Elephas maximus indicus: one gene and its partners. The protein of the gene in region 1 interacts with the protein of each later gene in a pairwise test. Links are inferred from orthologs where the notes say so. Each region holds a gene or a part of one and is shown in the gene's direction. Other genes may lie near its edges.

Evidence for each region.
Region 2: the proteins of UBQLN1 (region 1) and HSD17B12 interact in binary tests that used the Homo sapiens proteins (3 or more experiments, as listed by UniProt). The link is inferred for Elephas maximus indicus from reciprocal best matches to the Homo sapiens genes UBQLN1 and HSD17B12.
Region 3: the proteins of UBQLN1 (region 1) and PNMA1 interact in binary tests that used the Homo sapiens proteins (3 or more experiments, as listed by UniProt). The two-hybrid records come from large-scale screens. The link is inferred for Elephas maximus indicus from reciprocal best matches to the Homo sapiens genes UBQLN1 and PNMA1.
Region 4: the proteins of UBQLN1 (region 1) and HK2 interact in binary tests that used the Homo sapiens proteins (3 or more experiments, as listed by UniProt). The two-hybrid records come from large-scale screens. The link is inferred for Elephas maximus indicus from reciprocal best matches to the Homo sapiens genes UBQLN1 and HK2.

The regions. Positions count from the first base shown.
Region 1 is NC_064827.1:100,996,352-101,003,995, reverse strand, and holds the start of UBQLN1 (ubiquilin-1), read left to right. Parts: upstream 1-4,635; 5' UTR 4,636-5,174; coding exon 5,175-5,354; intron 5,355-7,644. UniProt on the Homo sapiens protein: Plays an important role in the regulation of different protein degradation mechanisms and pathways including ubiquitin-proteasome system (UPS), autophagy and endoplasmic reticulum-associated protein degradation (ERAD) pathway.
Region 2 is NC_064825.1:99,001,877-99,009,450, forward strand, and holds the start of HSD17B12 (very-long-chain 3-oxoacyl-CoA reductase), read left to right. Parts: upstream 1-4,568; 5' UTR 4,569-4,624; intron 4,625-4,727; exon of another isoform or gene 4,728-4,879; 5' UTR 4,880-4,902; coding exon 4,903-5,062; intron 5,063-7,574. UniProt on the Homo sapiens protein: Catalyzes the second of the four reactions of the long-chain fatty acids elongation cycle. This endoplasmic reticulum-bound enzymatic process, allows the addition of two carbons to the chain of long- and very long-chain fatty acids/VLCFAs per cycle.
Region 3 is NC_064828.1:86,445,064-86,452,008, reverse strand, and holds PNMA1 (paraneoplastic antigen Ma1), read left to right. Parts: upstream 1-3,926; 5' UTR 3,927-4,688; coding exon 4,689-5,750; 3' UTR 5,751-6,500; downstream 6,501-6,945.
Region 4 is NC_064835.1:61,008,858-61,016,047, reverse strand, and holds the start of HK2 (hexokinase-2), read left to right. Parts: upstream 1-4,189; 5' UTR 4,190-4,664; coding exon 4,665-4,727; intron 4,728-7,190. UniProt on the Homo sapiens protein: Catalyzes the phosphorylation of hexose, such as D-glucose and D-fructose, to hexose 6-phosphate (D-glucose 6-phosphate and D-fructose 6-phosphate, respectively).

The DNA.
Region 1 (7,644 bases):
GTGGGGAGGGAGGGAGGGGGAGGGGTATTCACTAATTAGATTAAAAACAAAAACAAAAAACCAAACCCAGTGCCATGGAGTCGATTCCGACTCATAGCGACCCTATAGGACAGAGTACAACTGCCCCACAGAGTTTCCAAGGAGCGCCTTGGATTCAAACTGCTGACTCTTTGGTTTGTAGCCATAGCACTTAACCACTATGCCACCAGGGCTTCCCACTAATTAGATAGAAGGCAAGAATTATTTTAGGTGAAGGGAAAGACAACACACAATACAGGCGAGGTCAGCACAACTGGACTAAACCAAAAGCAAAGAAGTCTTCCGAATAAGGCCAACACTTCGAAAGCCAGGGTAGGAGCGGTGGGGGTTTGGAGACCGTGGTTTCAGGGGACATCTGGGTCAGTTGGAATAATAAAATCTATTAAGAAAACATTCTGTATCCCACTTTGGAGAGTGGCATCTGGGGTCTTAAACGCTAGCAAGTGGCTAACTAAGATGCATCAATTGGTCTCAACCTGCCTAGACCAAAGGAGAATGAAGAACATCAAGGATACAAGGTAATTACGAGCCCAAGAGACAGAAAGGGCCATGTAAACCAGAGACTACATCATCCTGAGACCAGAAGAACTAGATGATGCCTGGCTACAACCGATGACTGCCGTGACAGGGAACACAACAGAGAACCCCTGAAGGAGCAGGAGAGCAGTGGGATGCAGACTTCAAAATCCTCATAAAAAGACCAGACTTAATGGTCTGACTGAGACTGGAAGGATCCCAGAGGTCATGGTCCCCAGACCTTCTGTTAGCCCAAGACAGGAACCATTCTCAAAGCCAACTCCTCATACAGGAATTGTACTGGAGTGTAGGATAGAAAATGATACTGGTGAGGAGTGAGCTTCTTGGATGAAGTAAACACATGAGACTATGTGGGCAGCTCCTGTCTGGAGGGGAGATGAGAAGGCAGAGGGGAACAGAACCAAGGACACGGAAATAGAGGCTGGAGCGAAGGTGTGTGCTGTTTTATTAGGGGGAGAGCAACCATGAGTATATAGCAAGGTGTATATATATTTTTGTATGAGAGACTGACTTGATTTGTAAACTTTCACTTAAAGCACAATAAAAATTTTAAAAAATGTGGTGAAAACTGAATAAGGTCTGTAGTCTATTAACATGTCAAATTTCCTGGTTTTGATATTGTGCAACAGCTATTTAAGATGTCACCATTGGGGGAAGCTGGGTGAAGGGTACACAGACTTTGTGCTATTTTTGCAACTTCTGGTAAGTCTAGATTTATTTCAAAATAAGAAGTAAAAAAAATAAATAGTGAGATTGGACCAATGTGAGAACCAGAGATGTGTTCTTCACACAGAGAGGTTTGCCACATCCCCTTTCTTTCCACTGCTGCTGGCCCTCTCTTTGCTTCTGTTTATTATGCTGTACCTGGCACAGCACCAGAGGACTGTGGGAACCTACTTAGCAGCTTCTGTTCAAAGCTCGTGGTGGCTTTAGATGTAAAGTCTTAGTTGACAAATTAATAAACATCCTCTCCCCGCCCCCAGCCTGTCCTCTAATTACTTGGCCAGAAAGTTTTTGAATGTTCTACCCTTCTACATTTGATTTTGAAGTAGCCCTAGAGATATTTGTGCACTGCTCCTAGACTGTGGATCACACTTTGAGACCAGTACCCTGGGAGAGTTTCTATTTCCCATCACTGTGTGCTTCTCATGATGTTGCCCCTCTCAACACACCTAACAACATCTTATGCATTCCTTAAGGCCTGGCTCAAGTAATTTCCTTCAAAAACTTTCTCTGACCACCACCCCTGTGCCATTTCCCTCCCCGTCAAGCAGATAGTATAGGGATGTTTCCTTATAAATTCTACTGTAAAGCAAGTAAGTTCCAAGGTGTGTATATATACAGCTGTATCTATCTATCTACCGCTACACTATAAACCTTGGGAGAGACAAGACATACAAAATATGATCCACTGTTCTAAGCCTCTTTAATGAAAAACATGATTTCAACAATACAGTTCAACTGGGAATGCTCTCATGCCAAGAAATTATGCTGGGCACTGTGGGGTATATATGATGGTTAAGACAGAATTCCAATTTTCAAGGACCTTGTCTAGTTAAGAAGCCCTGGTGACACAGTGGTTAAGTGTTTGGGTGCTAATCAAAAGGTCAGCAGTTCAAATCCACCAGCTGCTGCTTGGAAACCCTGTGGAGCAATTCTACTTTGTCCTATAGGGTCACTGTGAGTCAGAATCGACTTGATGGCAATGAGATTTTTTTGTCTAATGAAGGAGAAAGAGGCACAAAAGTAAGTATAATACAAGAGATAATGTGTTAAGTGACATTAAAAAGGTCATAAAGCTATATAGAGAGTTTAGAGAATATTTCTGTACCACGGACAAATTGTTAGGGAAGGTCATATTTCAGTTGAGAACTGAAGGAGGGGTAAAACAATGGGAACAAAAGAAGGGAAAATAATTTTTTCCTGCAGTGAAATTGGTGTGTTGAGGCTTTTTTTTTTTTTTTTAATTGTGCTCTAGGTGAAACTTTACAGAGTAAATTAGTATCTTATTCAACAATTTACACACAGTTTTGTTACACTGGTTGCAATCCCCGCGATGTGTCAACACTCTCCCCTTCCACACCCCAGTCCCCCATTTCCATTTGTCCAATATTCCTGTCCCTTCCTGCCTTCTTGTCATTGTGTTTGTGCAGGTGTTGCCCCTTGGTCTCATGTACAGAATTGAACTAAGAAGCACATTCCTCACATGTGTAATTGTTTGTTTTATAGACCTGTCTAATCTTTGGCTGAAGGGTGAACTTTGGGAGTAGCTTCAGTTCTGAGTTAAAAGGGCGTCTGGGGACCATAGACTCGGGGGTTCTTCCAGTCTCTGTCAGACCAGTAAGTCTGGTCTTTTTTTTTTCTTTTGTGAATTTGAATTTTGTTCTGCATTTTTCTCCTGCTCTGTCTGGGACCCTCTATTGTGATCCCTGTCAGAGCAGTTGGTGGTGGTAGCCGGGCACCATCTAGTTCTTCTGGGCTCAGAGTGGTGAATGCTGTGGTACTTGTGGTCCATTAGTCCTTTGGACTAATATTTCCCTTGTGTCTTTGGTTTTCTTCATTCTCCTTTGTGCATTGAGGCTTTGAACCAGGAAAGCCCAAGACATGCTTGGAGAGCTTAGTTGACTGGTTTGCCTGAAGAGAGGAGTAAGGAGCAAGGTCCTCTGGTCACAGAGGGCCTTGTACACCATGCCATGAAGATTTAATTTTATTCTAAACTTTGGTGAGAGCTTTTGAAAATTTTCAAGTAGGTGAGTGTCATCAAAGCTTTGTTTTAGAATAACATATGGCATCAGAAGAAAACAGACTTGAGGATGGGGACTTCAAAATGGGGGAGAGGAATCTGTAGGAGGTTGTTCAACCTAGGCCAGAGGTAATGAAGGCCTGAACTAGACTGGTAGCAGGAGGAAGTTGAAGATAATAGAAGCAATGTTACAAGTAATGAATTGCCAGGAGAATTATACATACAGTGAAACCTATGACAGTGGGAACTCAGGACTGTCTTGTTTTTCTAGGTCTCACAAGTTTTCCGCCTTTGACAGGGTGCAGTCACCACTTTTCTATCGCTAGCGGAAAATATTTTTCCTTCTCTGACAGGTTTCTGCCTCACACAGAGTTCTAGCTTTTGCAGGTTTTACTGTACATAATTATGATAGAATGTCAGAGAAGGGAAATGATCCTCTAGGCTTGGGTGTTCAAGGAAAAGTTTTAGAGAGAAGGTAGCTCTAAAAGATGAGGACAAGGTGGGGGTGTAATGATCAGAGGTGAGAGAAGCATAATGTGCAAATGTTTCCAGAAATGGTAATACACAAGTTTGACTGGAATGAAGTACATCTACAGAGCAATGGGAGTGAAATTTGAAAGACACTGGATTGCAGGTCTCTAATTTCTAGTTAAGAAATTGGGGTTTATTTTGCAGCCAGTGGGGAGCTTGCGATGGATTTTCAGTAGGAGAGTGAGATATAATTTATATTAGTTATTTGACACATGTTCTGCCTCGTATTGAAGTTACTATGTAAGTTTTTGGACACAAGATTAGCGTATTAAAGTTTGCCAGAAAGTACTCAATAAATTCTCATTGACCAACTGAATGAGTCATTCTGTCAAAAGCGGGAGCACAGGCCACTCTGTCAGTACCGGTGGCCTGACGATCGCCTGACCAAATCTGGCTCATCCGAGAGTAGAAAGCCCTGGCCATGTGCAATGACTCCGCGAATTGTGCAGGGTGATTACTGGCGTTTATTCCATTTTCCTTTCGTTTATGACGACCTTTGTTTCATTAAGTTATCTTCATTTCAAATCTTACAAGTAGGCAAAAACTAAGCAAATCAGCAACAACAAAATACTTCGCCAGTATTTTATCACGAGACCCTCTTCCCAGCGAGGTAGACCAAGGCGAAAAATTACCGGAAGCGGTGAAGACTGCCTGGGCAGCCCGTGAGGTAAGGGGGTGGGCAAACTACCTGGACAGCCAGCGCGCAGGCGTACTCGCGGCCGCAGCGCCCAGTGGTGGAGCCCCCTTTCTAGTAATTTCGCTATCCGTGACATCATCTTTGTGCGCCGATAAGACGCCTCTCAGAACCGGGATTATTATTTATTTGGTGGAAATGACAAAAAAAATGAACTGACCCATCCCGTCCGTCTTTGATTTTATTCTTCCACTCTGGACATGTTTACATTTTGGGTAACAGAACGCGAGCGGAAAAGGAAAGCCGCTGGAGCTTGAAGAGGCGACCGCCAGGAATGACTCGGCGCTGCCTTCAGCCGCGCTACCCGGCGTGCCTCGCGCGGCGCTGGCAGAGGGACGTGGGGGAGGGGCGGCGAGGACGAAGCGGCGGCTGCTGCGGATGTCGCTGTTAACCAGCGGCGTCTGAACAAACGACGGCTGCCGAGCGCCCGACCTGGCCCTGCGCTAGAGCCCAAACAGAGCTCCGCGGCCTCTCGCCCGCTAGGGCGGTCCTACGCCGGTTGCCACTGAGGTGGCGTGCCCCGCATTCCCCGCTGCCCGGGCCGGCCGACTGTGGCGTTTTCTGGCTCCCGTTCGCTCGCCCGCTCCCTCCCTGCCCGCTCCCTCCCTGCTCTCCTGAGTCACCGCCGCCATGGCCGAGAGTGGTGAAAGCGGCGGCCCTCCAGACTCCCAGGACAGCGCCGCCGCGCCCGACGGTGCCGGCGCCCCCGCGGCAGCTGCCTCCGCGGAGCCCAAGATCATGAAAGTCACCGTGAAGACCCCAAAGGAGAAGGAGGAGTTCGCTGTGCCCGAGAACAGCTCCGTCCAGCAGGTGAGGGCCGCCTGGGGCTCGGGCAGGGGTGGAGGTGGCGGCAGGACCTCCGCCCGCGTCCAGGGACGGTTTTGGAGGGCCTTGGGAGAGGGTTGACCGCGGAAGTGTCCTCGGCCATTTTCCTGGGCCTCATCCCAAATCCGATCACACCCAAGCTCGTGGGTTTGCTTCTTGGGACACCGCAGAGGTTTGTGGCAGGGCTGCGGCCTGTGTGTGGCACACACCAACGCCGCTTGCCTCCGCACCCTCCTCCTCCGGCGTCCACCGACCCTCTGCCGCCTCCGCCAGCTCCCCGCCCCCAGCCGCCTCCAGCTCCTCACAAAGGAGAGGGACCCACCGCCTGACTCCGGGCGGGGTGGAGGCTGGGCGGGTGCGAAGGTTCGCTTTAGCCTAGGCCGCGGTTTTGTTTGAAGAACACAAAAACAAACAAAAAAAGAGGGTTGCTCGTTGTTTTCGCCTGCCTGCCGTGTTATGGTCGGTTTTTGGGGTGAGAAGCACGTGTTTGTTTAGTTCTGCTTTTTGAATGCTGAAATCTTGCCTACTTTTAAAAAAACGAAAAACAAAGATATGCCGTAGAAATTGCTTGCAGGCACATCTTAAATTATGGTACTAGGCTCAAGGAGAAAAGTGAGTGACTCTTCATTCTTTGATGACATGCTGTTTTCTTGTTAGTATATTTATCCCTTCGATGCTCATCTGGGGTAAGTTTTTGTTTGGTTATAGGGGAACGATAGCGACCTACTCAGGTACTGGCAATTGCGTTGAATAAAAGAAAACAAAACGGGAGTTAATGGGGAGTATTACCCAGTAATTGCTTAAAGCCTGGCAGAGAAATTTTGCAATTAATAAGAATCTTGGTGAAATTCGACAAGTTGTTTTAGTTTATTGTTGAACCGTAATTCTTCATCCCTAGCAATCTCAAACAATGTGAATAGTTTATGAAAGGAAACAGTGAACTCCTGAAGTGTACCCATGGTAAATTGCCCCAGAAACAGTAAATGAATCGGGTATTGGTTTATCTAGTTTCAAAAGATGTGTTTTGCGAAGCAGTAGATTGTAGCATCAACCAAGAGATATTCACCACCAATTGAATCACCATATTGTTGTTTTGTTTTTTGTCTCCCAGTGCTCCTGAACATTTTGTTTTCCAGCATATGGGAGAGTTGAAAGAATTATACAGTGAACACCCATATGTCTGTCACCTACCATTTGCATTTTACTGTGTTAGCTCTATCACATTTCTAATCATTCATCAGTCCTTTTTATTTTTTGGGTGGATTTCAAAGTAATTTGCAAATATCTGAACATGTTACCCTTAAAAAGCACTTCAGTGCCAATATCATTAGCTTGAGTTCAACGTTTTTTAATTTTATTTTTTCAGGTAAATTTTCCATGCAGTGAAATATGTAAGAGTTCCATTCCATGAGTTTTGACACATGCATACACCTGTGTAACCCAAACCCCTATCAAGATATGTAGAGCATTCTTACTGAACAGAAAGTTCCTTCTTTCTCTGTTAGTTCAGTCACTCTCCCATCTACCACTGTTTTTGTTTTTTTCACCATAAGTTAGTTTTGCCTGTTCTAGAATTTTATAAAAATGAGATTGTGTAATAGGTAGTCTTTGGGTAAGGTTGTTTTCACGCAGCATGATGTTTTTGAGATTATCCTTGTGTGTTAGAAATTCCTTCTTTTTTGTTGCTTTCCTATTGTATGACTTTGTATGTGATACATAGTTTTCTATTGTGTGATCTTACCATAATTTATCCCGTGCTGAGTGTTACCATGGCTGTTCCTGGTTAGTAAAATCTTTTTCTGTTTGTGGACATATGCTTCCATTTCTTGTGGTTTAAATACTTAGAAGTGGAATGGCTGGACTACAGGGCAGGCATATGTTTAGTTTTATAAGAAATTGCCTTTTTGAAAAGTGTACGGTTGTACAGTCCCACCATTCTGTTCCTCTGTATCCCAGCTGACATGTAACATTGTCAGTCCTTTATCTATTCTAGTGGGTGGGTGTCCGTATTAAGTTTTGAAGCCCGTAGGTCTTCCTTCTAGGATTCTTATTTCATGTCTCCACTAGCCTGGCTGTTTTCAGCATTTCACTGCACAAAATTGGAAAGTAAGAGCAAATATTTCATAAATAGGGGAATTCATATAGGTCAATTTATATTTATGAAGATGTTTAACTTTTTGTAATAGTGAAATTAGAATTCTAAATTATACGGATTTTTTTTTTTTGGCTTTCCTGTAACCAAAGCAAAATTTTAATAAAGATAAAAGACTATCTT
Region 2 (7,574 bases), on another chromosome or scaffold:
GATGTAAGTCTCTGGTTCATGTGGCCCTTTCTGTCTCTTGGGCTCATAGTTGTCGTGTGACCTTGGTGTTCTTCATTCTCCTTTGCTCCAGGTGGGTTGAGACTAATTGATGCATCTTAGATGGCCGCTTGTTAGCATTTAAGACCCCAGACTCCACACTTCAAAGTGGGATGCAGAATGTTTTCATAATAGAATTTATTTTGCCAATTGACTTAGATGTCCCCTGAAGTCATAGTCCCCAAACCCCCACCCTTGCTCCGCTGACCTTCGAAGCGTTCAGTTTATCCCGGGAACTTCTTTGCTTTTGGTCCAGTCCATTTGAGCTGACCTTCCCTGTATTGAGTATTGTCCTTCCCTTCACCTAAAGTAGTTCTTATCTACTAACTAATCAGTAAATAACCCTCTCCCACCCTCCCTCCCTGCCCCCCTCATAACCACAAAAGTGTGTGTTCTTCTCGGTTTATACTATTTCTCAAGATCTTCTAATAGTGGTCTTATACAATATTTGTCCTTTTGCCTCTGACTGATTTCACTCAGCATAATGCCTTCCAGGTTCCTCCATGTTATGAAATGTTTCACAGATTCGTCACTGTTCTTTATCGATGTGTAGTATTCCATTGTGTGAATATACCACAATTTATTTAACCATTCATCCTTTGATGGACACCTTGGTTGCTTCCATCTTTTTGCTATTGTAAACAGTGCTGCAATAAACATGGGTGTGCGTATATTTGTTCGAGTGAAGGCTCATATTTCTCTAGGGTATATTCTGAGGTGTGGGATTTCTGGGTTGTATTGTAGTTCTATTTCTAACTTTTTTTTTATTAACTTTTATTGAGCTTCAAGTGAACGTTTACAAATCAAGTCAGTCTGTCACATATAAGTTTATATACATCTTACTCCTTACTCCCACTTACTCTCCCCCAATGAGTCAGCCCTTCCAGTCTCTCCTTTCGTGACAATTTTGCCAGCTTCCAACTCTCTCTATCCTCCCATCCCCCCTCCAGACAGGAGATGCCAACACAGTCTCAAGTGTCCACCTGATATAATTAGCTCACTCTTCTTCAGCATCTCTTTCATACCCACTGTCCAGTCCCTTTCAGTTCTAATGAGTTGTCTTCTGGAATGGTTCCTGTCCTGTGCCAACAGAAGGTTTGGGGACCATGACCGCCCGGATTCCTCTAGTCACAGTCAGACCATTAAGTCTGGTCTTTTTGTGAGAATTTGGGGTCTGCATCCCACCGATCTCCTGCTCCCTCTGGGGTTCTCTATTGTGCTTCCTGTCAGGGCAGTCATCGATTGTGGCCGGGCACCAACTAGTTCTTCTGGTCTCAGGATAATGTAGGTCTCTGGTTCATGTGGCCCTTTCTGTCTCTTGGGCTCTTAGTTGTCGTGTGACCTTGGTGTTCTTCATTCTCCTTTGCTCCAGGTGGGTTGAGACCAATTGGTGCATCTTAGACGGCCGCTTGTTAGCATTTAAGACCCCAGACGCCGCATTTCAAAGTGGGATGCAGAATGTTTTCATAACAGAATTATTTTGCCAATTGACTTAGAAGTCCCCTTAAAGCATGGTTCCCAAACCCCCGTGCTTGCTCCGCTGACCTTTGAAGCATTCATTTTATCCCTGAAACTTCTTTGCTTTTGGTCCAGTCCAATTGGGCTGACCTTCCATGTATTGAGTGTTGTCCTTCCCTTCACCTAAAGCAGTTCTTATCTACTAATTAATCAGTAAAAAATCCTCTTCCTCCCTCCCTTCCTCCCCCCCTCATAACCACAAAAGTATGTGTTCTTCTCAGTTTATACTATTTCTCAAGATCTTATAATAGTGGTCTTATACAATATTTGTCCTTTTGCCTCTGACTAATTTCGCTCAGCATAATGACTTCCAGGTTCCTCCATGTTATGAAATGTTTCACAGATTCATCACTGTTCTCTATCGATGCGTAGTATTCCATTGTGTGAATATACCACAATTTATTTAACCATTCATCCGTTGATGGACACCTTGGTTGCTTCCAGCTTTTTGCTATTGTAAACAGTGCTGCAATAAACATGGGTGTGCATATATCTGTTTGTGTGAAGGCTCTTGTTTCTCTAGGGTATATTCCGAGGTGTGGGATTTCTGGGTTGTATGGTAGTTCTATTTCTAACTGTTTAAGAAAACGCCAGATAGATTTCCAAAGTGGTTGTACCATTTGACATTCCCACCAGCAGTGTATAAGAGTTCCAATCTCTCCGCAGCCTCTCCAACATTTATTATTTTGTGTTTTTTGGATTAATGACAGCCTTGTTGGAATCAGATGGAATCTCATCGTAGTTTTAATTTGCATTTCTCTAATGGCTAATGATCGAGAACATTTTCTCATGTGTCTGTTAGCTGCCTGAATATCTTCTTTAGTGAAGTGTGTGTTCATTTCCTTTGCCCACTTCTTGATTGGGTTGTTTGTCTTTTTGTGGTTGAGTTTTGACAGAATCATGTAGATTTTAGAGATCAGGCGCTGGTCTGAGATGTCATAGCTAAAAATTCTTTCCCAGTCTGTAGGTGGTCTTTTTACTCTTTCGGTGAAGTCTTTAGATGAGCATAGGTGTTTGATTTTTAGGAGCTCCCAGTTATCTGGTTTCTCTTCGTCATTTTTGGTAATGTTTTGTATTCTGTTTATGCCTTGTATTAGGGCTCCTAGGGTTGTCCCTATTTTTTCTTCCATGATCTTTATCATTTTAGTCTTTATGTTTAGGTCTTTGATCCACTTGGAGTTAGTTTTTGTGCTTGGTGTGAGGTATGGGTCCTGTTTCATTTTTTTGCAAATGGATATCCAATTATGCCAGCACCATTTGTTAAAAAGACTATCTTTTCCCCAATTAACTGACACTGGGCCTTTGTCTTGAAGAATTTTCTTCCTGCAATTTGATCGCTTGCTGGGGATTGGCCTTTGCTTATGGATGCAGATGTTGGAAAGTTCCAGCTGGAACAGAAAACATTCTTCAAGACCAAAGAACACGTTTGTCTCATCAGAGTACTGGTTTGATGGGGACAGGCAATTTAAAAGTTGGCTATATTTTTTTTTTTTAAAGGCATGAAGTGGCTGGCTTACTGACTTTCGTGGGTGTGCTTACACTCAATATGAGGGGGACAAGGGAGGATCCCCAATGAATAGATTCCTCCTTTCCTGATGGATCTGGGAAAGAGAGGGTGGGGGAAGATGCTGATAGAATTATATGATTCATTTGTGAGTGTTGATGGTTAACATGGTTAATTATGATTGTAAAAACACCAGCTCATGGTGTCAAACATCTCTTCACTTTGTCGAATTCTGGTCAGCTCATTCCTAGTTATCCAAGCTAGGTCATAATGGGTAGCAGTCTTAGGCTCAAGAGTTCACACACACCTCCCAGCACTTCAGACAGCCCCTTCACGCTCTCATCCGTAATCCCCTTGGGCTATCTCAACAGGAGTGAACTCCCTTTACTTCTGACAAGGCAGCCCTTTCTCTGTCTCTTTCTCACCCCTAGCCCTTGTGGGCTAGGCCAGTGGTTGCCAATAAAATACGTCCACACTCAGCCCTCTCTGCACTGCTGCACTGAGAGATAAGTCTGTTACACTAAATATTACATAACTATGACTTCAGCTTCAAGCTCGTTGAACTGTTAGCCCTTTTATTACCCTTAAATCCCTTCCTTAAAAAAACCTCTCAAGTGTTAAGTCAGCAGGCCTCACTGGCTAAGGATAAGCTCTAGATATCTTATGCGAGCTCCAAACCATGCCAGCAAAGGAACAATAAAAACTGTTGAAGAAGGATGAGCGAATAAGTGTGAACCATTTTATTGCACTACACAATTTCTTAACTTTGCTTTGTGGTCTTACTCCTTTGGAACTTCTCTTAGGTAGTTCCCATACACACTGTGGAGCGTCCCGGAAACTCCACTCCCCTCTCCCCATAAAAAAAGCAAGTTAATAATAATAAAGTAAAATAAAAATCTCTATCGTCCTTTCCTGCCCAGTTAAAACACCGACTTGACTCCCTTCTCAGCAAGCTGTTTTTCTGTAGTATATTTTCATTCATCTTGCAATTCTTATTCCATAGTTATTCAACTCCATCATTATTTGACGTAAACTCGAAAACGTTGGGAATTATGTGCTGTTTAATGCTCAGCGCTGGACGGAGGCCTTGCAGTTGGAAGGCACTCAATAAGTGAGTGTACTGAAACGATTGCGTGCTGTGGGGCAGGCTTAGAAACAGGAGACTGCAGCCCTCTGTCCAGAAAAGTTGATGGGAACAACAGCAGCGCATTGACAAAGAAGTGTTTAATCAGGAGGTGAAAATAAAACCCTGCCCGAAAGGCTCCACATCTACTCCTCACTACAATCTTCCCATTCTCTGTGGCTTCTCCGATTCCTTTCCTTCACAATCCCGGCTCAAACCAGGCTGGGTCTGACCGGCCAATCGGAGCGCAGGCTTCTAGAGTCGCGAGGATCGCCGCAGCCAATGAAAGACCTGGGCGATTTGGTGGTGAGACGCACCGCTCACTGGCCGAATACTGGGGGACGTAGAGACGCGGTTGGGCGGGCTGAAGCTTGATTGGCAGGCAAGCGATCTGCTGCCGGAGAACGGTAGCACCGCACATTGTGCGCGCGGGGAGAGGGGTCGTGGTTGGGGCAGGGAAACTCTAGGGGGTGGGCTCTGGTCTGTTTAGGAGTCAGCCAACGGCTGATACGTTACCGCAGAAGGAAGGCTGGATCACCAATGGCGGCACGTATACGGCGCTGTGGGCGGGGCTTGGGGCAAAAGCCCAGTAGGAGCAGCGCCTGTTACTGTCGTCTTCGCCGCCACCGCCGGCGCCACGCCTGGATTCATTCATTCCTTTTTTTTCATTCACGCAGGTAGTGAGGCCTAGTCGAAAGCCATGGAGAGCGTTGTCCCGGCCGCCGGCTTCTTCTACTGGGTGGGCGCGGGCACCGTGGCCTACCTGGCCCTGCGCATCTCGTACTTTCTCTTCATGGCCTTTCGGGTCTGGGGGTTAGGTAATGAGACCGCAGTCGGACCGGGGCTCGGTGAATGGGCAGGTGAGTCGGGTCCAGCGCCGCCGCCTCCTCCCTCCTGCAGCCGCTCGCCGGGCTCCCGGCCAGGCCTGGTCCATGCTGGCGAGTTCGGGGACCTACGCGTGGCCTGCTCTCCTCGGCTCCTTTCTCGTTCCTGAAGCTCCTGCGACCTCCCTCTGTCTCCCTTAGCCATCGTCTGGCTCGCTTAGATTTGTAGAGATTGTGTTTTTAAATACTAAGAAAAAACTAAAGTGGGGCAAAATATTGCTGGCTCAACTCCGGGAATCTGAATTGCCACTTTGTGCGTGCGGCGGAAATCGGGTCTTAACTCCCTGGGACTTGAGCGCTTTAAGCCATGCGGGTTCATGGCCGGGAGTCACAGTTCTTTTGCTTTCGCTTCAGTCACAATATACTCAACTTGGTTCACTCCTTCTGAGCGTTTTTAAAATAAAGTGTTCTCTTGTCTTGAGTACTGGCCCGGTGCTAAGGCTGAAAAAACATTTCTTTTGGGGGGATGAGGACAGGGGAAGAGGTGTAGGGACACGAAATTTCAGAAAGTTTTTGCTCTTGGGAAACTTACTTCTCCAGTCACTTGATTCGGCCTGCTTCATGTAATTTACAAAGTTTCTTTTAAAAAATCCTCGAAAAACTGTTCTGGAGTCATGATAGTAGCAAGAACTGTTGCTTCTTCAGAAAAAAAAAAAAAAGGTAACTCTGTATGTTAAAATCGGAAATAGTTTTTGCAGAAGGTACGTTTGTAGAAAAAAGTGTTCCCATAAAGAGTAACTCAAGCAAATGGATCTTGTTGTGTCCAGTCGGAGAGTTTAAAAAATGGGAGACAAGGGTCACATTGGAGCCCTTAGAAAACTTAACTGCAGGGAAGTTTTGCACTGGCTTTTTTTCTAACTTGTTTTCTTTCTTTTTTTTTAAACCAAGTGATTGCTTATGATTTGCTGTGGTCGTTCTTTGGTTATTTATTTTGATGTTTTATAATTAAGTGGTCACTTCACGTAGCATTTTATTGAGTTTTGGGGTGGTTGGGGATTGCGTTCAGAGTAGGTGTAAGTAAAATACATAATTAATGTTACTCTTTATTTGTTCATTCAAAAACATTTAAACAGCTCAGGAAAAACGTAAGTTACATTTTGGTACAGCAACATAAATATTAAGAGAAAACATATCAAACAGGAATGGATTTGTACCTGAGAGCTCTCCCCATGATATGAGGCAATTATCAACGTAACACTATCCACGATCATTTGTTATCTTTTGATAGTCTTTGAAAAGTAAAGTGCTCAACTTGATTATAATCTGATTTCACAAGTGAGTTACTAAAATTTTTTGGTTGCTAGCTTTGAGAAACTTGTTTGTGGACTTTTGCAATAGTTACACAAGATGGTATTAGGAAATCGTATAACTGGAAAATCAAACCCAGTGCCATTGACTAGATTGCGACTTATAGCAACCCTATAAAACCCCTTGCCACGGAGTGGATTCCGATTCATAGCGACCCTATAGGACAGAGTAGAACTGCCCCATAGAGTTTCCAAGGAGCGACTGGTGGATTCCAACTGCCAACCTTTTGGTTGGACCTTTTGGTTGGCAGCCATAGCTCTACACAGCCAGGGAATTTCGCAGATTTGCAAACAAAGATGCTAATGTTAATAACTTTTTAATACCTAAAGTTGACCATCCCCCAAATCAAACCCATTCCCATTGAGTGGATTCAGATTCATAGTGACCCTATAGGACAGAGTAGAACTGCCCCATAGGATTTCCAATGAGTGGCTGGTGGATTTGAACTGCCGACCTTTGGTTAGCAGCCGAGTTTTTAACCACTGCGTCACAGCAAGTCCTAGTCATCAGTATATGAATTCATCATAAAAGCCAAGTGATAATGATGTTGTCTTTTCATAAATAAGATTTGTGTTGGAAAGATTTGGCCCCAGAGAAAGGATATTTGATAAATTAAGGCAATTGTATAAGATTTAGAAAGGAAATTTGAACTAGAACACTGGCATAACAGAGAAAATGAACATGTCCTAATTGAACTTATTCATTGTCCAGCTTTCACATGCATATGATGTGATTGAAAATACCATGGCTTGGGTCAGGTGCACCTTAGTCTTCAGGGTGACATCTTTGCTCTTCAACACTTTGATGAGGTCCTTTGCAGCAGAAGCTGGACAATGAATAAGGAAGACTGAAGAAGAGTTGACGCCTTTGAATTCTGGTGTTGGCGAAGAATATTGAATATACCATGAACTGCCAAAATAACGAACAAATCTGTGTTGGAAGAAGTGTGGCCAGAATGCTCCTTAGAGGCAAGGATGGTGAGACTGCGTCTTACATACTTTGGATGTGCTGTCAGGAGGGATCAGTCTCTGGAGAAGGACATCATGCTTGGCAGAGTGTACAGGGTCAGTGGAAAAGAGGAAGACCCTCAACGAGGTGGATTGACACAGTGGCTGCAACAATGAGCTCAAGCATAACGATTGTAAGGATAGCGCAGGACAGGGCAGTGTTTTGTTCTGTT
Region 3 (6,945 bases), on another chromosome or scaffold:
ATGCCCCTTGGAAGGGGCTCTAGCTGCTGCCACCGCTGCCTCTCACACTCTGACCTCTGCTGCCTCTTTCCTTCCTCTTTGCCTCCTTGTCCCCCACTTGGTCTCTAGGAAGTGGCCATGGGGAGCCAAGCACAAGCTCACCCCATCCAGCCATTACTTCCCCTCCCCAGTGGACCTCAAAAGCTGCCAGGCCTTGCCCCAAACCCTGGAAAAAGGGTCTCTGAGAGAGGGCTCGGCCTGGCACCTGTGACTGCCCCCTGCACAGCAACATCCAGGTCTTAGCTGCTCCAGGGACCCTGTCCTCAGAGAGGCCACCTCCTCCTTGCAGGGAGGCCACCAGGATGCCTCATGGGAGAGAGATCGAGGACAGGTACTTATCCCTTTGCTGCTTGCTAGCAGCCCTGCTGGGGGGAGGGGCCCGAGTGCTGTCTGAGCTCTCAGCCTTCTGGAGGGAGGGGAACTGCAGAGGCTGGAAGCTGCAGGGCTGTGTGCAGCCTTAGGTCTGAGGGAGCTTCTGATAAGCCTGGCTCTTCCTGCTTTGCACCTCTTTGCCAAATACCTTGGGCTCTGGAAGCTGCTTAGGGGGCTTAGCTTAGAGGCAGTTCTGGAGAGGCCAGGAGGGAGGATCCCCAGCAGCCCAGCCTGCTCCACCTGGGTGGGCACAGCGCCTCGCCTGCCTCTGTCAGCAGCTGCCTGCCCCCACCTCCAGTGCTGGTACCCACAGCCCAGCCCCCAGCCCTGCACGCTGGAGATTTCTGCATCCTTCCCTGGGAGGGGGAGGTCTCCAAACTAGATTGGAAAGGAGCCTTCATTCCTTGACTCGTGTGATTTGGGAGCTATTTATTTATTCTTAATATTTAATTTTTAACATCCTCTCAGGGACCAGGGGCCTCCTGCTTTCCAGAGGCCCAAGTGCATTTATCCCAAAACAAGGCACCTTCTTGGCACCCCGCTCGCTAAGGCCCTAAGGTCCCCCACCTCTTTGCTCTGAAAGCTCTTGCCAATAGGAATGATAGCAGGACTGAGACAGGGTAGAGTGGAGGGTGTCACCCAAGCAGGAGAGACTAGCAGGAGCAGGGGAGATCAAAGGCAGTTTTCCTCTGCTACCTCTTCCCTGGCTGTACTTTGAAGTTGCCTGAGGAGATTGGCAGGTGGCCAGAATTCTGGTTGAGTTTATCAGGTCTGGATTCTGCTGTAAGAAGCTGAATTTGGCAAGGAGTCACTGAAGTGAGAGGGCTGAAAGGCCCTGGAGGCCCCTTCCCTTGCCAGCCCCATAGGAGGGATGAGTTATTTTTTTGATCTTGTTACTCAACTTTAGTTGTGAAAAAGAAGTTCTAACAAATCAACGTGTTAGGAAGGAGCCGAAAAGTATTCTTTCTGCTGGTCCTCCCAGGAGAGCTTCAAGCCGTCATGTTGGTAACTAGGAGTGGGGAGGGAGTTTTGTTTTTAAACTATGCACTATCAGGTAGTTTTCAGTATTCATTTATGCATTAATGTTGTTCCGCAGGACCCCAACTATAGGAGTAACAAAATTATTCTCCCCCCAGACTCCTGGACAACTACCCTGATTTCCAACTTCCTACTTGTTTTCTCCATGGACTTCTACAAACTCAGTGTCCGGAGATTGCAAAGATCTGGTATACCATCTAGAAGCAGGAGAGTAGCAAATTTAGGCTCTCTTTTAAATCATTTGTGTAATATGAGTGCCTTCAAAGCTTCGCCCCAAAGTGCTCCTTATGTTTCCCAAGGTTTTTTCTACTTAAACTGTATTTTGTTTCAGGCCCCTTTATGGACATGTGGTAACAGAAACCTCCTTCAGGCACGTGAGACCCTTCTGTTCAGTGGTGGCTTCTAGTATTTGGAAATCTTTTTTAATAAGAAAGTGATTCTTTTCTCCTAAGCTTATGGAGACCAGACCAGGTGAATGTAGGTGGGAAAAATTAAGATGGTACCTGTCTGTATTAATCCTCCAGCAGCCTACCCCACCAGACACCGCATTTTAGGAGGGTTCATGCTCCAGGATGGATTTATATCTAGAATGCAATGTGAAAAATTAAACTGTTCAGAGGGCAGATGCAATTGTGGAGTGACCTGCCAATAAGGTAGGTGCAGCCATAGAAGCTGGCATAAGTATATCCTTAATGGTGCTTTCTCCCTGTGAATGCATTAGGTTCCTCTTTTTCTTCTTTTATTCAGAGCTCTTTGCTTTAGGAAGTTAAATGACAAACACCTCCAGCTTTATGTCCTCCTTCTCACACTGTCTCATCACATCCATTTCCCAGGGTCCATCTGCAGTCAGCTAAGGGCGTGAAACTGACCTAGTGCCTGTGTTCCAGACCATTTCTGAGGTCTCTTACCCACCCAGGGAGACAGTGCTGTCCGCACCGTTCTCCATGCCTTCAGCAGCCTCCCTCACAGCTAAGGTACATACCTGCCCCTTCTGCTGCCCCACCTCCTGCTGTGCTAAGTGAGGGCCTCCCCTGGCACAGAGGTTGTGCGCTGCTTATGTCTAAAGGGATCGTCTATATTTAACTGCCTCAGTGACCTAAACTCTTTCTTCTCATGTGCCAGATGTTAAGATGAAGGAGGAATACAACACATCCTTAAGCCTCAGCTGTTTAAATATATTTTCACTGGGACTTACTTTTCTGGGTCGGTATTTATTACCAGACTGGCAAACCTAACTCCTTAGGTTTACAGGAAGTAATACATATTTTTATAAAACAATTCTATGTCCTCCCCACATTTTTCTGTGTTAATATTTGCCTCTAACAATTTGCAGCTGTTTCACCTTTTCCTCATTTGTCTCTAAAGTTGAAGGCCTTGTTGGAGGGGACAGAGCACAGGAACAGCCTTGACAGTCTGTAATTATTGTACAAATATTTTAATAGCATATAAATAAGTATATTCCTTTTATTTTGAGAGAAATGATCAGACACTGCCTTTTGTGTGTTTGCTGCCTGTGGCACCCTTTTTTAAAAAGACTGTTACATATTAAAATAGTGTACATATATATAGAAATATTACCTCTTTTGCTGTACAGTTGTGATAGACGAGACTGAAGATTTTATTTTTTGTGTGCTTTTTATAAAAAAATTAATACACTAAAGAAAATCTTGCTGATGTGATTGTAATGTACCTATGTAACTTATTTACTTTTGAATGTTCCCTCTGTATCTTTAAACCTTTTATTAAATAAGGTTTTAAAAATTCAGAGTTGAATGTTGTGTTCTTTTGGGGGGATTTTCACCATCTGGGATTGACGTCAGTAGGCCTTGTTTTGTTTACAAGGGATTACACTGGACATTTTTGAACCGTAAGGATTCAATTTTTATCAGCCCATTGTCCAGGAGCCAGGAGAGGGGAAATATCATACTAGTGTTTGCCTTCCTACAAAGATGACTGAGTAGAAATAATGTCTTTTACGATATTTTAGACAGGACAAAGTCTAAACTCAACGTCTCAAAAACCATAAATGGCACACTTCCCACATTACAATTTCAATGGGCTGAACCACGGAGGTGCAGAGAGAGTGTGCTCAGGTGGCTCAGCGAGGCCGGGTGCTGAGGTGAGCGTTCTCTACGCAGCATAGACCGGTGGAATGAGCTACCTGAGTAGACAAGTCGGCCACGACGGATGCATTTCCACCAGTATCTTAGATCCACTCCAGAATTAGATTCTTTTAGCAGTATTCTTTCATTATAAAAAAATATATATATGAAAAAAGAAATACACCATCCGAGAGATCAGTGCCAGGAGCCCCTCGCCGGCCCCATGGCAACTGCTCAACGCCGCCCGCCGCCAAAGCGCGCGAATTTCGCGTCGCCTGGGACACCGTTGCCATGGCTACGGAGGGCAGGGGCGGGGCGGGGCGGGCTGGAAGCCGCCTGTCAGGCTTGGCCCCGCCCTCTGCGGCAGTAACGCTCGGCTCGCGGCGGGGAGGACGCGCCGGCTGCTGCGCTCCGCCAGAGACAGCTACAGCACGCGCGCTGCCCTCCGGCCGCTCTTCCTCTCCAGCTTGCCCTGTCCGTATAGCCTCCGCCTTCGGGCCTCGATCCTCGGCCCTCGGTTGTCCTTGCCGCCGAGAGGGGGTCGTCGGGCCCGCGAAGTAGCCGCTCGCGGGCTGACCTCGCGGGCTGATCGGCCGCTGCCGCCTCCACAACTTTGGGACAGCCTCTTCCTCCGGGGGCGTCAGAGTCCTCGTCTGCCAAACAGCCGCTCCTCCCCGGTCTGAAGGCCGCGCTCCGACCGCGGACGCCCAGTCGACTCCCGGAGCAGCAGCTAGCTCCCGGGTGCGGACCGAGGCGACCGCGCCCCAAGACTGCACCCCGGCATCGTCTCCCGCCCGGCGGCTCCTCGTCTGTGCTGCGACTCGCCCCCTGTCTGTAGGCGACGGACCTCGGCCGCGGACCCCGACCGGAGACGCAAGATGGCGGCGGCCGCGTGACTGAGCATCCCGAGGCCTCGCTCCAAGGACGCGCAGACCGACTTAGGGGGAGTACTTTGGGGGGCAGGGAGGAAGGGCGAAAGCAGGACTCTGGTGTCGTTTCTTAATTGTGACTGCGTGAAGCTTGCCTCCCTCGGGCTTTTGGGGGGGGGAGGCTCTGGTATCATTCGTAGCCCTATTGCAGAGTGAGCCACCATCGAACCGGTACTTGTGGAGCCGGCCCCATTTGATAGGTGGGAAGATGGCGATGACCCTGTTGGAAGACTGGTGCAGGGGGATGGATGTGAACTCCCAGAGAGCCCTGCTGGTCTGGGGGATCCCAGTGAACTGTGACGAGGCTGAAATCGAAGATACCCTCCGGGCTGCGATGCCCCAGGTGCCCTATCGAGTGCTTGGGAGAATGTTCTGGAGGGAAGAGAATGCGAAAGCAGCCTTGTTAGAGCTCACTGGCGCTGTCGATTACGCCAACATACCCAGGGAGATGCCGGGCAAGGGAGGGGTCTGGAAAGTGGTCTTTAAGCCCCCGACATCCGATGCTGAATTTTTAGAAAGGTTGCACCTCTTCCTGGCAAGAGAGGGGTGGACAGTGCAAGATGTCGCCCGAGTCCTTGGGTTTCAGAACCCCGCTCCTGCTCCAGGCCCAGAAATGCCGGCAGAGATGCTTAACTATATTTTGGATAATGTTATCCAGCCTCTTGTCGAGTCCATATGGTACAAGAAGCTGACGCTGTTCTCGGGGAGGGACATCCCGGGCCCTGGGGAGGAGGCCTTTGATCACTGGCTGGAGCACACTAATGAGGTCATGGAGGAGTGGCAGGTGTCCGATCTAGAAAAGAGGCGGCGGTTGGTGGAGAGCCTCAGAGGCCCCGCCGCCGATGTCATTCGCATCCTCAAGACCAACAACCCTGCGATAACCTCCGCCGAGTGTCTGAAGGCGCTGGAGCAGGTGTTTGGGAGCGTCGAGAGCTCCCGGGATGCCCAGGTCAGGTTTCTGAACACTTACCAGAACCCGGGAGAAAAGTTATCTGCTTATGTCATCCGTCTGGAGCCTCTGCTGCAGAAGGTGGTGGAGAAGGGGGCCATAGATAAAGATAACGTGAACCAGGCCCGCCTGGAGCAGGTCATTGCGGGGGCCAACCACAGCGGGGCCATCCGGAGGCAGCTGTGGCTGACCGGGGCTGCGGAGGGGCCGGCTCCGAACCTCTTCCAGTTGCTGGTGCAGATCCGCGAGGAGGAGGCCAAGGAGGAGGAGGAGGAGGCCGAGGCCGCCCTCCTGCAGTTAGGCCTGGAAGGGCACTTCTGAGCCTCGGGAAGCGGAGGGGCTTTAGGGCAGACCTAGATCACAGCTGTTCCGTTGTCTGTGTCGTACAGGTGTGTCTCAGATTAGTAAGACTTAGCCATGTTCTGTTTCTTGGGGGGGAAGTCAGGCCTACTTCTTTGTGTAATATTCGTAAAATCGTGCAAGCGAACACCGGGAGCTGCAACAGTACCATAGCGTCCTGCTGGCTGAGATGCCATGTAAAGGCTTGGACACATGAGCTCAGTGTAAGCTGTCATCGTGCCACCATCGTCAGTTGTGAAAAACAAGTGAACCTGTGACACTTGCCATTGAGGTAATTACATGAGAAATTGCATGTTCAGAAGTTTAGTGCAGGGCCTGGTTCATAGGAACATGCTCAGTAAAAGTGTGAAAACCGTTAGTGTTAACTGATACCGTGGATAGTTTTTGTTTACTGTAAATCGTTCCTGATTTAATGGAAAGAAAGGAATTTGCTAGATATTTATTCAACTTCAAAATACAAATTTTCCTGTTTCTCATCTGAATCAGTTTAACTGAAAAGTATTCTGAGACTGCAACATGGAGTATTAGAAAAATACTGTAATTCGATAGTGCTGTGTAAATCAGTTTTTCACTGTACAAGATACAGAAATCGCATGCGGAGGTTGATACGAACCTGTTACAGTTATCCATTTCAGATCCTTATCCAATAGTAGGTCTCCTTGGTCATGCTAATCCTAAGTGTTCTAAATTTGAAGCTATCAAATAGATGTATACTAATAAAAATATTTTAAAAATTCTATTGTCTTCTAGTTTTCTTGTATAAAAATTTCCCGTGTAAGCTCTGTATCCTGTTTTCTTAGGACATTCCACATGTCATTAAAAAAATCAAACCTCATTTCTATCTATCTTTTTAAACTTTGTATCATATTATGGGTTTAAATTGTAATTTAATGCATTCAGTTTTTACGTGTTTTCTTCAAGGCAAATATTAGAAGGTAAAATAGACATGTTAAGTAAAATAGTAACTTACAAAATATTAGGAAATTCTGAAATGAGCCTTAGGGAGGTTATCTGGCAATCCTTTTTATCCCTTTTTAAATCTCTTCAGCTAAACATTTTTGTTTCATTGAAGAAGTAACTATGACTCATTATATACCTATGTAAAATGACTCTTGGAATTATACAGCAGCCATTTTATATCAAGAGCTTAAAAAGG
Region 4 (7,190 bases), on another chromosome or scaffold:
CCCTATAGGGCAGTTCTACTCTGTCTTACAGGGTCATTATACCTTAGAAACCCCAGTGGCATATTGGTGAAGCGCTATGGCCGTTAACCAGAAGGTTGGTAGTTCAAATCCACCAGGCACTCCTTGGAAACTCTACGCAGCAGTTCTACTCTGTCCTATAGGGTCACTATGAGTCGGAATCGACTTGATGGCAATGGGGTTTATGCACTGGAATCAGCTTGATGGCAGTGGGTTTAATACTTGTTTTATGTATTAGTTTTATATCTCTGACTAGTCAGTTAATTCTCCACGGGCAAGGGCCACATCTTATGTTTCTTCTGTATTTCTCATAGCACTGAGCAGAGTTCCCTGAGCATTGTAAAGTGTTTAATAAATATTCGCTGGTTGATTCCTCCCTTGGGGCTGGGGAGTGTAAACCACATGTATGTCTCATCCCTCTTCAATGTTTGTGTGTGTGTGAGAGAGACAAAGAGAGAGAGAGAGAGAGAGAGGTCTGAGACTCATGATTAATCAACTCCGCCGCATGGAGTTTGGAGCCAGAAAAGTTGAAGATACTCGCCTCAGCCTTACGTGCGTAAACTACCCTTGGTTTATCATGTCTTAACTGGGGCTTATAGCAATTCCAGGCACCTCCTGGGATTATTGTGAGCAGAATAAGAGAAAGAGGCACTTACAGCACCTGGAATTTAAGGGTAGACTTTGAGGGGAGAAGAAGGCACTAAAATTCATGTGTGGAGAAGGGCTCACAGCTGACACCACCCCACAGACTCTGGTCCCTTCTACCTGGGCCCAGTGGAGTTCTGTAGCACTGCCTAGTGGGTTTCCAAATATCTGTAGACAGAAAGCATCTTCCTCTTCATCCCCTACCACTAGCTAAAGCCATCAATTCTACCTCAGACTTCACAACATCTTTAAACCCGTGCCCCTACTCCCTGCCCCGTTCTCACCTGTTTCAGGCTCTGGTCTTATCCTACCGTCCCTACTTCTTTCGGCCTCTGGTCTCTGACCCTCCTGCCCCTCCTTCACCCACATGGAGGTTAGAAATTGCCCTAAAAAACCCAGATCTGATCACATCATTTCTCTGTTTAAGAACCTCTGCTGGATATCTAACTCTATGTATCTACTATGTATCTATATCTAAAGAGGGAAGACCAAATTATGAGGCTGCTATCATCAGGTGAGAGATATTGGGTGTGTGAACTAGGTAGAGGGAGAGGTGGGAAAATATCTGAAGAATAATATATATAAAATAAATATATATAAAACATATATAAAATACATAAAACTATAAACTTTCTCCACACAGATACACAATTATATAAAATACGAACAATGGCTATCTCTAATATTTCTTAATTTATGCAATATTTACTGAGTACCTCCCATGTGACAGGCACCATTCTAGGCACAGTGGATGCTGAGAAACAACACAAATACCAACTCCGCTCTTGTAGCTCGGAGTCCAGTGAGCAGATAAAGGACACATACAAGTTGCCAGATCATAAACAGTATCAGATAGTGATAAGGGCTACGAAGGAAATCAATCAGGGTCACAGGATAGTGACTTGGGGAGCTATCTGAGATAAACTGGTCAGGGAAGGCCCTTCGAGGAGGTGACATCTGAGCTGAATCTCAGTGAGGAGAAAGAGTCAGCGACACACAGATCTGGAAAAACATATTCCAGACCGAAGAACCAGGAAGAGCAAAGGCCCTTGGGTGAGAAAGAGTTTGGCATATTTGAGGAAAATGCGTCAGTGTGAGCGCGAGTAGTGTCTTGGGGAAAGTATGGAATGGGGTGGAGAGGGAGGCAGAGGCCATATGGTGAAAAGCCTTAGCAGTCATTGTCAGAAGACTGAATTTTATGTTACAATTGAAAGCCACTGGGTGGATTTGAGCCAGGGAGAGACATGTTCGATTTCTATTTTTGAAAAGGTCACTTTGGCTTCTGAGTGAAGAAGAGATGACAGGGGCGAGGGTGGAGGTGGGCAAGAGTGGAAGCAGGGAGGCCAGGTAGGACAATGTGACAGTGGCTCTGGCTGAGTTGGTGGCTTGGCTGAGGTGGTGTACTTAAACATGGGGAAAAGTGGTCCTATACAGGGTCTGCTCTATGGGTGTGGGGCCCTGGTGGCACAGTGGTTAAGCCTTTGGCTGCTAACTAAAAGGTAGGCAGTTTGAATTCACCAGCTGCTCCTTGGTAACCCTATGGGGCAGTTCTACTCTGTCCTATAGGGTCGCTATGAGTTGGAATCGACTTGATGGCAATGGGTACTCTACGCATAGAGTTGACTGCTTGATGGCAGATTGGCTGAATGTGTGGGTGAGGGGCAGGGAGGGATTAAGAATGAATTAGGGTTTATAGTGATGCCATTTGCTGAGAACTGGGAGTAGTTTTGGGAAGAAAAGTTGAGCTCAGTTTTAGACATGTTAAGTGTGAGATGCTAGTCACTTGAGTGGAGATGACAAATGGCAGCTAGTGATTTATATGTGGAGTTCCAGGAGAGGTTTTCGCTGTAGATTTTACCTTTGTGAGTCACCAGCTTGTAGATGACCTAACAGTCATGGGGCTGGGAGGATCACCTAAGGAGAGATCATAACTAGATCAAAAAGGGTGGAGGATAGGTGTGGGATACTCCAGTACTTACCAGTGGAGAAAACAGGGGCTGAGGAGCTTGGGGAGAGAGGTTACTGGGAAGCCAGGAGAGTGGAGCTTCCTGGACTCCAACTGAGGCAGGTGTGTTTAGATGGAGGAGATGGTCAACTGTGCCCAACACCCCTGAGAGGTGGAGTAAGACAAAAGTGGAGAAGAGAACATAGGCTTTAGCAACATGTAGGCCATTATGGGACGAAAGCAGTTTGGGGCCCAAGCCTGATTAGAGTACATGGAAAGAGGGGTGAGGATGTTTAGTTGGCAACGGTGCATAGTTTTCAAGAAATTTTGCTGAGAGGCTGGATCGTGGATGTTTTCATGTTTTATTGTTTATCTCTATATTCTTATTTTCCAACAAGGACCATCCATTACTTGTGTAATAATAATAAAATCCATATACGTTGCATACAGTACCCATTGTTTATGAGATAAAGAGGAACTCCTCAGTAGAAAACAGAAGACCCTCATCTTCCCTTCACTGCAGCCTCTCCAGCCCCAGGCTTGCCCTTCTCTCTGAGGGAACAGTCCCACGCCTGCTGAAGTCAATACTTCATTTTTGCTAGCTTCCACCCGGTATATAAACTTGGAGTCTGATGCCAGGCACTGGCTGTGGCTGGGGCTCTCCTCTCCAATCCATACACCTTGCCCCAACCCACACATGTCCAGGATCACTCAGAGTTACACACTTGGTCACCCAGTTTCTTCTCTCTTCCCGGTGCTTAGAAAGGCAGGATAGGTTAATTGGGCGGGGGGGGGGGGGGGAATTTAGAGGGAGGTGCCCTGGTGGTGAAGTGGTTAAGAGCTCAGGCTGCTAATCCAAAGGTCGGCAGTTTGAATCCACCAGCCGGTCCTTGGGAACCCTATGGGCTAGTTCTACTGGGGCTCACAATCAGAGGGGCGTGAGTCCTTTTCCCCACCATCTGAGTGACCTTGGTCAAGTCTCTCAACGGCTCTATGCCTCTTTCCTCATCTGGAAAACGGGGTTAATATGATATTAATATTCTAAGACATTAATGTTATATCGTAAGATTTGGGCTGTGAAGGTTAGAAGAGCAGTTTTTTGTAATGCCTGGCAAAGAAAAAGAAGCAAATAGGGCGGCTCACTTTGCCTTGGCGCAGCCGCGGACTCACGGAGCCACAATAGGTGAGAACTAGGATGCTTCAGACCAACTGGACAGTCGATTCCATGGCCCCAGGATGCCAGACTGCATCTCTCCCCCCACACAGGGCGTGTGCTGGTCCAGTGACCCGTCTTTCCAGTCGTCCCACACCCGGGGTCCGCGCTCACATGTCCCCTATCCCTGGCGGAGCCCGAAGCAGCGGCAGCTCACGCGCCTTTCCGCTCCAGCCTCTTGCCACGGACCACACGTCCCATCCCGGCCGCCGGGCTCCGCCCCTCCAGCCGGCCGGCTCGGGTGTCTGGGCGGCCGCGCCCGCGGGTCGTGCGCGCTGACTGGCTGCGCCGTGCCGGCGGGTGGCCCGCGGGCGCACACACCCTCCCCGCTTAGCCAATGGGCGTGCGCGCGTCACTGACCGGGCGGCCCGCGAGCGGGCGGCCCCTCAATAAGCCACATTGTTGCACGAAACTCCAGCGCAAGACTCACCGTGCCGCCGCGAGCCCCGCTGTGCCGTGGAGCGGAGAGGATCCGCGGGCGAGAGCATCGCGCGTGGGACCGAGCGCCCCACCAGGCTGATTGTCCTAGCGGAGCTGGGCTGTGATTCTTAGTGATCCTGTGGCTGAGGTTGGCTCCTTGACCGTGGGGCAGCCGGACACGTCGCCTGGAGTGATACTGGGGCGCCTGCCTGCTAGCAGCTGGGACTAAAAACCCGTCTTCAGAGACCTAAGAGAGCTCTCACCCGGAGCGCCATCGCCGTTGGCCTTCTTTGTGCGCCGCCCAGACCCCCACCTCCCAGACAGGCCGCCCGAGCCCGGGTACAAAGCGGTCCCACCACTGCCCGCCTCCCCCGCACTCGCTCCAGCTCGTTTCCCAACTCGGTGCCGTCAGGCCGCGGTAGGATGATCGCCTCGCATCTGCTCGCCTACTTCTTCACGGAACTCAACCATGACCAAGTGCAGAAAGTAAGAGAGCGCGGGCGGGGGCGGGGGCGGCGGGCTCGCCTCGGACAGAGTCGCCGGGTCCCCGGTCGTATCTCGGGGCCCCGGCCAGCTGGACACCCCTCCCAGACCCAGCAGCTACTCGTTCCCTACTCACTTCGGGGCCGGGGCCGCACAAACAGCCTGGGCGACCGGACAACTCCTCTGCTCGAGAAGCCACGTCCGCGCTGCGCCGCCCGGCTCCCTCTCTTCCTACCACCCTGCGCGCTCCTTCCCTCTCTCCCTCTCTCTCTTTTTTTGTTTCAGGAGGGCGGGTCACCCAGCACGTAGTCAGTGACTGCTGGGCACACGTGGGATGATCCCCCCTTCTGCAGCCGAGTTCCGGCCAGAGCACGTGGGGAGAGTCGTGGCTGGGGGAGGAGGCGCCGCTGCCGCGTGGGGGCTGCCTGGGGCCACCGGCGCAGAAGTAACGCGTTTAGGGGACCTGCGGCTCTGCCGGTTGTTCCTCGCGGCCCTGCGGAGGTGGGATTGGGGAGAAGGCGGCCCGGGGACGAGACGGGAAGGGGGTAGAAGGGCTCCCCGCGCCGCGCCTCTTCCCCGGAACTGAGGCCCGGCTAGGGGTGTCCATCCCCCGCCCCCCCACGCTTCTCCCTCAGGACCGCCCCGCCTCGCGTCCCGGGAACCCGCCTCCAAGTGGGGGGCGGTCTTTGGATGTTCCTTTCTCATTCGCTCCCGAAAGTTACTCGGAGAGGACCAAACCCCCTTTCCTGTGTTCCTTGAGATTTTTGTCGTTCCGAAAACGAGCTTTTTCCTACCCTAGGGCCGGACCTATCTGCTCACCTAACTCAAGGATATCTCAACCCCGAGCTTTCACCTCCGCCTGGCCATTTACATAAGAAAGAGCCTCGGGCCGGGCCGGGAGTCTCCCTCCGGGTGCCTCGGCGTGTGATGTGGGGGTGGGGCCGGGCCGGCTCGCGCTAGGATTTGAGGGAGGGGATGGGTTGGGGGCGGAGGGGTCGGGAGGGGGCAGAGTTGTGTGGCAAAGACTGAGCGTTGCTCAGTTACACGTACTTGAAATATCAGCGTCTGATGAGAACACGTTTTTGGGAAAATGTCTAGACCTTATCATTCGTGAGGCGACCTGCTCGTATTCCCACGGTGGAGGTCCCGAGAGGATGATGGGTTATCTTCTTGATGCCCGAGCCGCGGAAGATAACCACCCAAATAAAGCATGACATGACTCAGCCTCAGACGGGAGGAGGGCAGCTGGTTTAGCTGAGTTTTACTCTGTTGATGAACGTAGTTTACTCTAACTCATTCCTGAGTTTACTCTAACTCATTTGAAACTTTATTTCAAGACGTGTCTGTGAGCCAGCAGGATGTTGGCAACCTTTCTGGGCTTCTCTGCCTGACAAGTAAGTTAACTCTTGGGGAAGGCTGTCATCTCTTGGCAAATCCTAAATTAAAAGTGGGGGCTCATTAATCCAAGGGAGGATTTATCAGTTGGGTAAATGTCGCTCCAAGACATCTTAATGCGTTTGCAAGCTTACCGTATTAGGACCCACGTGGCCTGGAATAAGGATCGTCTTTTTGGCCCCATAGTGGAAAGGGAACCAGGGTATCTGAAAATGAGTTCTGTTTCCTTTCCTGTAGCTTATTAACCATTGGACCCTAAGCAAGTCACTTTGCCCCTTTGGACCGCAGATTTCTCTTTGTCAGATGATAACAGCAGCTTTGTCCATTTTACACAGTTGTGATGGCCAAGCGCAACAATGTGAAATGGGTTTCTTGCAGGCTCCTCTCTACACTGCAGATACCTTTCAGACTGTGAAGTGTCTGTCAAGGGGGTACTTGGCTGCATTTCCTCTAAATGACCAATAGGGGCAGAGTCGAGTCAGGCCTTGAAACTGACCAGGTGTCAGAATCAGGGGCTTTGACTCCAGGCTTCAGTGAGCAAAGCTGTTTAATTCCAGGGGAAGTTAGATAGGAAGTAGGGAAAGAGAGAGGGGAATAACTTGGAAGCATCTTTTCAAGTTTGCTTGCTGGAAGGGAGAGTTGAGAAGAGGATGAAACAAGCTTGCGTTTTAGCCTTTTAAAGGGCCTTCCTTGATTTGGACTCTTCTGAAATCCCCATGTGATGGTATTATCTTACATGTTCTGGGTTGTAGTCTCAGGGCACAGAAGGCTTGACCCCATTGGGATGACTGGTCTTCTGCTGGACAAGCCCTGCGTTTTGTGCCATTAGGATGAGAGTAAGGGCTAGTTGCTCACTTTTGCCTATTGATACTTTGGAACTTGAACAAACAAACAGCATCTACTATGTACCAGGCATCACTGGGTGGTACACATGGTTAACATGCTTAGCTGCTAACTGAAAGATTGGAAGTTCAAGTCTACCCAGAGGTACATTGGGAGAAACTCCTGACAACCTGCCTCTGAAAGGTCACAGCCATTGAAAACCCTGTGGAGCACAGTTCTACTCTGACA